3 linked regions of the Arabidopsis thaliana genome follow. The protein of the gene in region 2 interacts with the protein of the main gene of each other region in a pairwise test. Each region holds a gene or a part of one and is shown on either strand. Other genes may lie near its edges.

Evidence for each region.
Region 1: the proteins of MYB65 (region 2) and AT4G30180 interact in a two-hybrid assay, tested with the Arabidopsis thaliana proteins (one large-scale study listed by BioGRID).
Region 3: the proteins of MYB65 (region 2) and RAP2.12 interact in a two-hybrid assay, tested with the Arabidopsis thaliana proteins (one large-scale study listed by BioGRID).

Annotation. Positions count from the first base shown.
Region 1 is NC_003075.7:14,767,043-14,770,271, reverse strand, and holds AT4G30180 (uncharacterized protein), read right to left. Parts: upstream 1,489-3,229; 5' UTR 1,245-1,488; coding exon 768-1,244; 3' UTR 501-767; downstream 1-500.
Region 2 is NC_003074.8:3,600,032-3,605,699, forward strand, and holds MYB65 (myb domain protein 65), read left to right. Parts: upstream 1-2,004; 5' UTR 2,005-2,174; intron 2,175-2,317; exon of another isoform or gene 2,318-2,498; intron 2,499-2,852; exon of another isoform or gene 2,853-2,959; 5' UTR 2,960-3,024; coding exon 3,025-3,396; intron 3,397-3,515; coding exon 3,516-4,524; coding exon of another isoform or gene 4,525-4,550; exon of another isoform or gene 4,551-4,617; coding exon 4,618-4,898; 3' UTR 4,899-5,141; downstream 5,142-5,668. Other genes in the region: AT3G11450 (DnaJ and Myb-like DNA-binding domain-containing protein), read right to left, coding at 5,428-5,668. UniProt on the Arabidopsis thaliana protein: Transcriptional activator of alpha-amylase expression that binds to 5'-CAACTGTC-3' motif in target gene promoter. In vegetative tissues, inhibits growth by reducing cell proliferation. Promotes the expression of aleurone-related genes (e.g.
Region 3 is NC_003070.9:20,133,129-20,137,513, reverse strand, and holds RAP2.12 (uncharacterized protein), read right to left. Parts: upstream 2,671-4,385; 5' UTR 2,273-2,670; coding exon 1,978-2,272; intron 1,715-1,977; coding exon 933-1,714; 3' UTR 501-932; downstream 1-500. UniProt on the Arabidopsis thaliana protein: Transcription factor involved in the activation of hypoxic gene expression and in ethylene response. Partially redundant with RAP2-2. Acts as a downstream regulator in the ethylene signaling pathway.

The sequences.
Region 1 (3,229 bases), on a different chromosome or scaffold from region 2:
ATAGAGAGATTTGGATGCGTGCGAGTGACTGTGAGACACGTGCAAAGATATGGATGATGACTTCAAATCAATGTTATGACTTTCATAGTTTACACATATGTCATCCAACTTTCCTCCTTTTTAGATATTTACAATTTCGGCGTTTTGTTTTTCATATTCATCGAATTTTTTGGAAAGTAATTCTAGTCCAGTAGTCCTAATTTTTGTTTACATTTTAATGGTGCACCTGTAGTTACTGCAGCTGGAACATATTGGTGATCTCTACTAATGTGTAGCTTTTATTTAATTGAAGATTTGTTACATCTGATTTTTTGTAGTCGAAAGTTCATATGTTTTCGCTAAAGGAGAAAAAAAACTTGCAGGAATATAAATATATACACAAACACAAAGTTTGTCAGGTTAAAATGATTAGAATATTAAAGTTTGGAGATTTGCTCATAACATTAAAATAATAAATTCAGGAAAAAAAGACAACATAAGAGTTTTATTTTAGGCAGCACATCGTCTATTTGGCATTACAACCAATAATTTAAATTTCAATCAGATTTTGATCGAATTTTATAAGATGTACGTATAAACGGCCATGTGTGGTACTTTAGGTATTTCGGTAACCATGATTAATTAAGAAAAGGAAAAAAGAAAAACACTATAATACATGCTCTTGTTCTTAAAGAAATCAAGAGAAAAAAAAAAACACAGATGATTTTCGTTTAAAGACAACAAAAAAAACATGAAACAAACTATAAATTATACACTTAAACTAAAAGTCAAGTACTATCTTGAACAATGGACTTGAGAGCAATCGTCTGCAACTCAAGACATTTAATGTAGTTACCAATCTCACTCAACATTTCTTCCACATTCATCTCTTCCCCACCTGGCAAAAGCTTCTTCAATTCCCTCAGTCTCTCCTCTATCCCTCCTTCTTCGTTTCCGCCTTCTTTATCGGGTCTTTCAAGAATCCGAATTCCATCGGAAGAAGAACTAGTGGTAGTGGTTGGATTCGATGAGGACGATAGCTTCTGCAGCAAGAAACGGCTCCATGCAAATTCTTGAGCAGACAAAGCCAAAGCCATATCTACTTCATGCTTCACGGTTTGTTTTGAAGAGTTCTTGTTCATGTTGAGCTTCTTGAGTGCAGGAACCAAGTGGCTTGTGTATTTTCTCGTGAAAACTGCACTAGGGTTCTTGTTTGGTTCAAGAGAAAACACTCGTTTCTTCCTGTTTATGATTTGCCTCTCCATATGAGAAACTATTTTTGCTGCAAATGAAAGTCTACAAGGGAGAAAGTTACATATATAGCAAACTTAGAATATGAGAGAGACAAAGAAAGAGAAGAGCGGTGTCCTACGTTTGTTTGTATATAACAAGCGTTGATGATGTATAAAGTAAAGTTGTAGAACTTAATTTTCTTTGTATACATATATGAGGTAATATGTTTGGGAGTGTTATTATTTTTCGTTCACGTACAAAACACAAGACTATTTGAAAGTCGTAGTTAGTAGTTTTCTTTTTTAGACAAATATTTTAAAAACAACGGAATTTGAATATCATCAACTAATATATGTTTTTTTGTATAATACATTTATTTTTAGAAAATACACGAAAACAAAAAGAGAGTGTGTATATATATATATATATATATATATATACATAAATAAAGAGAGAAAAATAAGAAAAGAAGAATTTGGGAATAATAATGGGTGAGGGAAGAAAAAACACATGGAGTCACATGCAAGAGCTCTAATTTGGCTGCATCACAACTACCCCTAAAGAGGTGCTTTGAGAGACCCTTTTACCATGTGGCTCCATTCCAAGAACAAGACATCAATACAAAACCCCACCTTCTCTTAATGCTTTCACATGTTCCTTCCTCTTAACCTCTCTCTCTCTCACTCACTCACTCACACACTTTGTATATACATAATACATGTATGCATGTGTATGTGTCCTTGGACCAATCTCCTAATTAGTTTGATCAATCTATGTCATTTCTACCCATATTATCTTAATATAGATCTCCCTCATATTATATATACCATTTGACCTTCTTTTTTTTTATGCTGCATGTGTGATGAATTTGGGTTTCACTACCCACTACTTTTGCGATATTTGGATACAGATGGTAACTTGCTAAACAGAAATTTAGTTATTATTAGTGGTAGTTCAATTGGTGATCTGTACAACATATCAAGACAAACATCTTTGAAACTGAATTTTACTGCCACTGTAACTAATATGACGTAGATACAAGTTTCTTTACTACGCATATTAACATAAAGTTAAGATGCATGTGGTCAGTAATTGGGTTATTAATACGTTTTATTTGTCAAGGACTTTTAGTCGTGATTTTTTGATTCTAAGCATCATTGCATTCCAGGTTTAAAGATGACTTTAATTTTTCCTATAGGATTTGTAAATAGATAAATATAGTTTATGTTGACACAAAAGGTCACCTTTGATATGATATGAAAGTCTGGGTGTTACTCATTTGTTATTTTATTTTTATTTTTTAAAATATATACCGAATCATTTAGATATATATATATATATATATATATAATAATAATAATAATAATAATAACAATAAAATGTCCAAACAATATCTATAACTACTAAACATGGGCGGTTGAGACATTACAAGTTGTCTCTTAATCTTATAGTGTTTGATACATGCAATATACACGTTACTAGCTTTTGTTGTTAATAGCCAAAACTGAATGATCTCTTATTGGTTTTGTTGTGTTCTTTATCCTACCACACAAAAAAAGTCAAGGGTTAGTAGATTATCAATCAATGCAGCAAGGAAATTTTATTTCTCTTTTGTAAATAATCTTTTTTTTTGTTAGAATGTGATGTTTTCTCGTATTATATTTTAATGCAATCCCATAACCTTTGATTGAATGTGGAAAACATGTGTTAATGGTAACCCATCTAGATGAAATTAATTAATCTATAAACTTTACTAAATACAAGTAGATAAAAGTACATAAAGGTAGAGGAATTTTCTAGTTAAAAACAAACGAAATAATATATATATATATATTGGATATATATATATATATATATATAATCTAAGAGGAGAAAGAAATTGAGATGCAAACTAATAGATGTGGATACCAAAATAGATACTAGACATTCACACCTATAGTAGACATTGAACAATAATGCATATAATCATAAAAGTTTCTTGGAATTTTGCTTAATGGTTTTCCACCTTTGACAATCC
Region 2 (5,668 bases):
GTGACCTAGAAAGAGATAGATGTAGACTTTTATATATATGAAGCGATAAAGAAGAGCCTATTTGGTGTTTTCTCCAATGATGTGCATAAAATATATATAATTAACAAATTAAAAATACGTTAACTGAGATCTCAGATACTCAGGTCATTAGTACAAAGTACAAACGTCTAATAGAGGCCAATTTTGTCATCCATATTCAATTCAAACCATATCATTTGCCATAACCGTACCCATATATAGATATTTGTTAGTCTACAAAAGACTGTATAAATCGTTTTATCTTGTGTTCAAGCCATCAACTATGATATCAAATTACCAGATCACTCATGCTAAAGAATCCATCGAAATGTATTAAGTTTGTCGAAGTTCGTTACTCTATATGGTGGATTTTAAATATTTGATTTGGTTAGATAATTTTTAGTTATACCGTCAAATAAATTTCCAACTATTTAGTCAGCGAATTTAAAGATCAAACACTAATCATCAGTAATGGTTTGCTGAAAATCGTCAGAATTTCTTTTACTAGTGAGCAAGTTTTAAGATGAAATAAAAGGTGTGAAACGAAATAGAGAAAAGGTAGAGAGGGAAGAGACAAGCGTGAGACACGGAGAAGTGGAACTGATCTCTTTACGTTCCTCGTACGTTTACCAAGTTACACTGCTTTCCATATTTCTATATTATTATTCCCTCCATCCCTTTCTTCACATACTTTATGTAACTTCTTTTTAAAAACCAATTATTTGTATTCTAATTGATTGAATCAAATAGTTTCTATAAGACTATAAATAAACATAATTCGAATTCAAATTCGGCAGCGTTGAAAGATATATGTTGAACAATACATTACCACACTTATTAGTAGAATATATTTATTTCTAGAGTCTCAAAACATAAGCCAAAAAGCCGAAAGCACCTTTTTATCTTTGTGGGTTTGGTGCAATGGATCATATATATGGTACATTAGCATTTTTATCATCTTTCTCTTTTATCATTTTTCTTGTATTGTCGGGCTTGCGTCAGGCCTGTACTTATCTTCATACAACATTATTTATGTACATAACCAGAATTCAGGCCACAAACAATACGTGAGCTATTCAGGATCACGAGGTCCACGCGCTCGCTCACCTTCCTCTTTCCTCAAAGGCTTTAGCTAATTGTTAACTAGATGGAAAACAGTGCTATGGTTGAATTTTAACATATTGGTTACTACTATCTCAATAATATTTTGTAATACAAATGTCGGTAGATGAATTGATATACCACCTTCATGGATGATGAAGATCCACTTTTAAAGCCCAATTTTTTGTTTTTCTTCGATGCCGAAATCAATATGGGCACATGTGGATCCTACTATAGCAGTTCCTCAATTTGAGTTAAAAATCTTTGGGTTTTAGGCTTTTAGCCCAAGGAAAAAAAAAAAAAAAAGAACCAATTTTTATTTTTTATAATTTAATAAGAACCAAATTATTCATCATTATATACTTCTGACAACAAATATTTACTATGTATATTATATAGTGAAGAAGCTGTGACATGAAACAGATTCAAGCCAATCGTCTGATTAGCTAGAGAATCACTGTCATAATCTATTAGTTGACAAAGAATGAATGACACTAGTACAGTAGTTAATATGAGTGCGGATTCTCGTAATCTCAACGTATCTACGTCAATAAGCTCATTTATACATCATTAAATTAAAGTACAACATTCCAATTTATGTTTGGTGGGTTCCTTTTTATCAAGACGTATACGATTATACCAAACCTTTATCCATAATTATTTTTAAATGATACATTTCGTAAATATTAATATTACGATTATTATTTTTAAACCTAAAATCTTTGAATTTTATAAAATTTTAAAATTGATAAAAAAGATACGGGATTTTTTTTGAGTTAATTGATTTTCTAATAAAGATATTGGATTCTTAGTGTTTTTTTTATTCTATAATTTATTTATAACGCGGAAATAAAAAGCAAAATAATTAATTAAGTGAGGAGAGTTTTAATATTTTGATGTTTATTTCTAAATTCATCTCTTTTTTCCACTTCTGTTCAGCTCTGATGAATCTTCTTCCTCTGTTACTTTGATCTCTTTCTCCATCCTTGTCTCTGTCGATTCTCTGAGATATCTTCTCTCGAGCTTTTTCCCGCGTTATCTCTCTCCCACTCCTGGTAATATTTTCTTCTTCTTCTTCTTCTAGATTGTTCTTCCGTTACTAGCTCTTGAATCCATTTCCACGGATCTCTGATCTTCAATCTCTGTTTTCATTCTCTCTAATCAGTTGTTGAGCTTGATATTTTTAGCTAACGTTTTTCCGATTCAAATTTACGATTTGTGTGTTTTCCGATAACCAAATCGGATATCTTCAGCTCAAACTCGAGCTCCGATTTCGTCTCATGTTGTAGATCTCGACGACTTCGTATTTGTCTATGGTTTGCTGATTGTATTCAGATTGCTAGATACTCAATATAGAGCTTACTTTTACCTCAGCTAGGGTTCGTCTTTGTTGTACCTTTAGTTGCTGCTTTTTGATTCTTGTATATATGGATTTTGATTGTTCAATCGTAATTTCTGGTTCATTGAAAATCGATTTATTAGTATTCGAAATTGGAACTAAGATTTAGAGATTGCGAATTTGATACAGAAGTCATTTCAAAGTATCAGAGCTATAAAATGGTGCTTAGCTAGTTTCTGGTTTCCATTTCTGGATTTTCATTCAAATACGAAATCTATTCGTCAAAATGGTGTCACTAGTGTTCTGTAGAAATTTCATTACAGACTTTTAGTTGTTGCCTAGTATCAACTCATATCTCAGCGGTAGATATGATGAATCTACTAGACATATTTTTCAATTATCGCCTCCTTTTACAAGTTTATCATGTCATTATTTTGTTGATAACTACATGAATGCTGGCTGAAATATTAATTTGTCTCTTTTTCCTCTTAATTGGTTCAGGTTGGAGCTTGATGTCTAAATTGTTATTGAACTGCTGGAGTCTGTCTTGCTTTAAGTAGAAAGAGATGAGTTACACGACGGCGACTGCTGATAGTGATGATGGTATGCACTCCAGCATCCATAATGAATCACCAGCTCCTGATAGTATTAGCAATGGCTGCAGAAGTAGAGGGAAAAGAAGTGTCCTGAAGAAAGGACCATGGACTTCAACTGAAGACGGGATTTTAATTGATTATGTAAAGAAGCACGGCGAGGGTAACTGGAATGCTGTGCAGAAACACACTAGCCTGGCCCGTTGTGGTAAAAGCTGTCGTCTGAGATGGGCTAATCATCTGAGGCCAAACTTGAAGAAAGGAGCATTTAGCCAAGAAGAAGAACAGCTCATTGTTGAAATGCACGCCAAGATGGGAAATAAATGGGCACAGATGGCTGAACATGTAAGTAGTTTTGTAACTGCGGAAGCTACCTGATCATGGTCCATTTTCATATTTTGATATTCTTTGTGAGCCTAAAGACTAATTAATCTCTGGTATGATGTTTTCTTCTTGTTTACCAGTTACCTGGTCGAACAGATAATGAGATAAAGAATTATTGGAACACTCGTATCAAGAGGAGACAACGAGCAGGCTTACCACTTTACCCTCCTGAAATCTATGTTGATGACCTTCATTGGAGCGAAGAGTATACAAAGAGTAATATCATAAGAGTAGATAGAAGAAGAAGACATCAAGATTTCTTGCAGTTGGGGAATTCTAAAGATAATGTCTTATTTGACGATCTAAATTTTGCTGCTAGCTTGTTACCTGCCGCTTCTGACCTATCAGATTTGGTTGCATGCAACATGCTAGGAACTGGCGCAAGTTCTTCCCGGTATGAGAGCTACATGCCACCAATATTGCCTTCCCCAAAGCAAATCTGGGAATCTGGATCTCGGTTTCCCATGTGCAGCAGTAACATAAAGCATGAATTCCAATCGCCGGAACACTTTCAGAATACGGCTGTACAGAAGAATCCCAGATCTTGCAGTATCTCGCCTTGTGATGTTGATCATCATCCTTATGAAAACCAACATTCGTCTCATATGATGATGGTTCCTGATAGCCATACAGTTACGTATGGCATGCATCCTACTTCTAAGCCCTTGTTTGGGGCAGTGAAGCTGGAGCTCCCTTCATTCCAATATTCAGAAACTAGTGCATTTGATCAGTGGAAGACGACTCCGTCACCTCCACACTCAGATCTCCTTGACTCTGTTGATGCCTATATTCAATCTCCACCACCATCGCAGGTAGAGGAGTCAGATTGTTTCTCTTCATGCGACACCGGCCTACTAGATATGTTACTTCATGAGGCCAAGATCAAAACTAGTGCGAAGCACAGTTTGTTGATGTCATCACCCCAGAAGAGTTTCAGTTCAACTACTTGCACGACCAATGTTACTCAGAATGTACCACGTGGCAGCGAAAACCTGATCAAATCAGGAGAATATGAAGATTCCCAAAAGTATTTGGGTCGCTCCGAGATTACAAGTCCCTCGCAACTTAGTGCAGGTGGTTTTTCATCAGGTGAGTTGATCAAAGTTACTTGTTGATTGGTATCTTATCTACTCTTGTTCCATATTGATTCTTATGCAGCTGTGTTGGTTTTCGTATATGAAGCTTTTGCAGGGAATGTTGTAAAGACAGAAGAGTTGGATCAGGTTTGGGAACCAAAGAGAGTTGATATAACACGGCCTGATGTTTTACTTGCGTCGAGCTGGCTTGACCAAGGCTGTTATGGCATTGTTAGTGACACAAGCAGCATGAGTGATGCGCTTGCACTTCTTGGTGGTGACGACATTGGGAACAGTTACGTGACTGTTGGGTCATCATCAGGTCAAGCACCACGAGGCGTCGGGTCTTATGGATGGACCAATATGCCTCCTGTTTGGTCGCTGTAACAAAATGAACCATATCACACAATTTGAATCTTTCTGTATTTTCATGCACCTGGCTTACATGACTTGGTGGTTTGTTATAGTTGAGAGAAGATTTGTGGACTTGGTAAAAATTTGGATTTTCTTCACCTGATTTTTCTTATACTTGGAAGGCATTTATATATACTCATTTCTTGTTCCTGCTACTTCCATCATACTAGCTCGATTGGTTTTGTTTAGATTGTAAAGAAGCAAATCAAAATTAGGGCTTATTGTAGCCCAACCTCTAATTGGGACCGGAGACACAGCAGCATGAGCGATGCGCTTTATTTCACAACTTGAAACTAGACGCTAATCAAACGTTACATAAGATTATGTAAAAAACAACATACTCCATAATAGTGGCTCCAGCACTCTCAATATATAGAGACATCAAAGGGAAATGAATCATTACAAATAATAAAAAAGTTTTAGGTCTTGCTTCTCGCAAAGTAACGGTGCCCCAAGAGGATTAAAACCCAAAATTCTCATGGGACTCCGAAATGATTTTACCTCATACTCCGGTTTTCTTGTTTCTAATGATTTCCTTAAGCTCTGCAAACTTCTTCTTGCATTGGTTCATCGTTTTACCAGGGACAGCTGCAGCTACTCTCTCCCATCTTTGGCTTGTCTCTTTCGGGAATGTCTTTAAAGCTTGAACCAAAGCTCTTTCTTGCACAGTCGACCAACTATCTGCGTCTGAACTTCCACCTACTTCACCATTGTTGTCTGAGCTTTGACTGCTCGAGCTTTTC
Region 3 (4,385 bases), on a different chromosome or scaffold from region 2:
TCTTCACAATAATAGGAGAAACCAAATGTTATGTCAAACTTGTCATCACACAACTCAAAGCACCTTGACACTTACATTTTGGGCTACATTTTGACAGTAATACGGTAACTAACAACAATTTATATGAAAAATCAGTAGATTAAATTACCAAATACATATAAATATGTTTCAGTAAAAAATAAAGAATGTGTGCTAATGCTTAGATATTTATACAGAGTGAAAATGACCTAAAGAAGCAGAACTGTCCAGAAGAGTTAATTTACTCTCTTTTATTTTCTGTTATCATAAGGAAACGGTCACGAGAAAGACACAAACTCACCAGTTACCACTTGCAAAAAGAGAGTTCAACCTTTAGAGATTCTTCTGTCGTTTAACGTCGTCGTTTCAACGTTTGTTCCCTCTAGATTCATTGTACCACAAAATAACAAAAGTGGCGCACTTCTCTAGGCAATCACTTTGATGATCAGTTGATCACCGCTTTTTTTCTGATCACAAATTTACGAGAACCGGTTTGGTTCAAACTTAGCTTGTGACTTCTTTGTTATGTTCAACAGTTCTCACATACTCTTAGTAGCATACAAAGAAGATTTATTTGATTAAACAGATGAGAGGTTCAAACACATTATGACAAATGTTAAAGGAGTTTTGGGGCATAAAGTAACAAAAACAAAACACAAACGAATTCAAAAGATTCACTAAAACAAAAACTACCACAACCCCTAAAAATAAGCCTCTACTTAACTTCATCACAACTACCCTCAAGATAGAGGCTCATGGCTTCTCGCAATGCAAACAGGAACTCCTGAGAGAGACAGACAGAGACAGCAGAAGAAGATGCAAGTAACAGACATTAGAAAGTTTTGGAGGTTGATAAACGAACGATGCGGGAAACTCACAAACATGCAGCCTTATTTACATGAAACTGGATCTCTTCAGAAGACTCCTCCAATCATGGAATGAATTTCATCAATACTCCATAGGTCCATAGGGTTTGCACCATTGTCCTGAGTCGTTACAGCATCTTCGTTGAGGAAATCCAGTGAAGCGTCCCATTCAGTGTTGTTGTAAGGTGTCTCGAAATCCATAGACTTGAGCTTCTTAGCTGGATTGGCTTCCTCAAAGAACAGAGCTGAGTTGTTGTTGTTGATAACCGCAGAAGAGATGTCGGGAGTTATCGGAGCTTGATCGCTCCAACCAAACTCCGAACAATCGAAAGAATTACTACCCTGGTCAGAGCTGAAATACTGATACCCATTACATCCAGCATCAACGGAGTTTGTCATCCCAAACTGGTTGTTGTTGTTGTTGCTCACTTGGTGTTTCTCCTCCATGAAACACATATTTTCAAAGGAGATGTTCGAGTTCTGAACCAAAGCTGGACTTGGGTTAGGGTTAGGTTTAGCCACTGGTTTCTGAAGATTAGCCTTCACAGAGCGTTTCTGAGAATTAGCCTTCATGTTTTCTTCAGGGAAATTCACCTTAGCTTTAGATCCACGGATTCTCCGCGCTGCAGCATCGTAAGCTCTAGCAGCTTCCTCAGCTGTCTTGAACGTTCCAAGCCAGATTCTAGCACCTTCCCTTGGATCACGTATCTCAGCAGCCCATTTTCCCCAAGGACGTTGCCTAATCCCTCGGTACTGATTCTTCCTCTTCCTATTTGCAGATTTCTCAGCGTCCCCATCCAAGCCAGTAACTTTCTTACCAAAAACTGAACCTAGTAGTGAAACAACAACAAAACAAAAGAGTTCTTCTATAAATAACTCATCAACAATCTCTAATCAAATCTCATCACACAAATCAAGTCTCATCACTCAACCTCATATGCATATAAATATCACACAAATCAAACCTCATGCTTTATACAACAATCAAAATCGTAAGCAGATAAAGGTATCTATGAACAGAGCTAAATAGAATCGAAACTTAATTTCTAACCAATTCAATCGCTCAAACTAAAGTCAATCCCTAAATATTTACCTTCCGCAGCGGCGGAGACGGCGGGTTTTGGAGTCGAAGTGAAAACGAATGGTTTCACATCGGCGAAAACATCACCGACGTCGAAATCATCATCGCAATCGATAGACGAATCATCTTTGAAACCTTGGAAATCAGCTTCGAACTCAGCGTCAAAATCGAAGAAATTCGAACGATTCTTCGAGCTTTTCTTCGATCCTTTCAAATTCTTCTTCAGATCCGGCCAAATAAACTCGCTAGTAACACGGCGAGACCTCGGCGGTGGAATGAAATCGGATATTATAGCTCCTCCACACATGGCGGCGATTCTTGAGGGTGTAAATGTTCGAAAACAGAATCTTAGCGGCGAAAATGGAAACTAATTGATACTTTTGGGGGTTATATCTTTGCTTCTTCTTCTCTCTTCAACGCTTTGCTTTGTTGTTTTCTTCAGAAAGAGATTTTAGAGTAAAATAAAAGATGAAGCGAGTACGATGGTTGTTTACTATTATACCCTTATCTTGATGTACTATTTACGGTACTACCAGACTTTTATATTCATTTACTGTAGATCTATATTGTAAATTAGGATTTTATTAGTTTATTAATAGTTAGTTGCAGTAAATAAGATTAAAAATTTAGTCAGAGTTGTCTGCTGGTAGACAAAAATAGTCTAAACAAATTTTTACCTAACGTCAATTGATTTTTTCATAAAGTCTATTTCCCTTAGATCTAGTATCTATTAATGTGATTAGGCATTAAAAACACAACTAAATACTTTTGCAATGTTGTTTGCATTCAGGAGTAGCCAACGCAGAACAGATATTTAACATTTAAATTTAAATAATATTATAAATGAATTATGAAAATGTTTTAACATAGGCACAAAATAAATGAATTATTGAAAATATAATGAAAAACTATACAACAACTTTTGAATGTAATTTTGATTAGGAGAGAGGACCATTAAGACCTTATGCTGTTATGCATAAGGCTAAAATTGTAAAAGCATAGAAACACATTTATGAATCTGCGTGTGCAGGACACGTACGATATTATTGAAGCTTTTTGAGCAAGTTGATAGGATTTGGTTTTTATGACAAAGCTTTTGTCGTTTCGTGACAAACAAAAAAGTTATTAAAAATAATCCGAAAAATATATTTGTCCTTTTGTTTGATAACTAGCATTCCAAATCAATTACTAGTTTTCTTAAACTCAATTTAAAATTTCCTTGTAATTCTGTTTACTCTTAACTAACTTTATTAGGTCCAAATTATCAGGCATCGTAAATTACGGAATATTCAGTAGGTATGTGTTATGTGTATGTGTACGTGGAAACCATATTTTGTTGTTTTATGGTGAAATATATTTTATGGTTGCAACTTTCTAAATTATGTATAAACAACTATTGGAAATTCAGTTAAAAGAAAATTTTATTTTATAAAATTCAACTTCATACGTGTATAGTTATACTACATATAATATATATATATATATATATATATATATATATTAGTGCAATCATGTACTATATATTTATATATTAAGATCAAATTGTGAACGCAAAGAAAGACAGATGAATAAAATAGGTAGGGTCCAAATCATTTTACAGGATTGAGACAAGTTCCTAAATTAGCTTATCTCAAAGAAACAGATAATGATGTCAATATGTCATTCATGGAGCAATTATTTGTTTCACTATTTTAACTTTTAATAATTGACTATACTCGTTTCGGAACTGTACATTAGTACAATTTCTTTGTGTTTATAGATATAAACCTTATGTTTTGTTTTTCTAACCAAATTTATAAGAAGCAAAACAAATTCCAGTAGTTGATTTTTTGTTCACTAACTGGAATTCTTAAATCTGAACATAACTTCTCATTAATTGGAATCATTGGATGGATACAAAGTGAAATCATTTTACACAAGGCAAGTTGTCTTTTTGGGCCGAATCGCTAAGATAGTGGGCTTCATAGGTCGAGTTATAGGCACTTGCATTTAGTTTAATTGATTGGCCTTTTAATTGGGCCGAGACCACGAACCTGCTTAGTTACTCGTGACAGTGTGACACTATAAAACAATAAATTAGTTGGGGAATTGGGTTGAACAAAGTGATCACTTGACAAGTAAAACAATAATTCCAATTGTTTAAAATACAGTATTTTGGCCTGTACATATTCAACACGTGACTAAATGAGTTGTTCATATCTTCTCAACCAAAGAGTGTCTATGTCCCTGTCACATACATTTAAAATATCTCCCATACATAAAAAAAAAAGAAGCAAATCGAATAATTTATTTATCAGAGAGATTTTCTTCTTTAAAATAATTCTTTATCCAGTTCATATCCATCATGTCACGATCCAATCTGAATATTAAAATGTTCTTCGAATTAATCAGATTTAGTTATGAAATATGAGTCATATCTC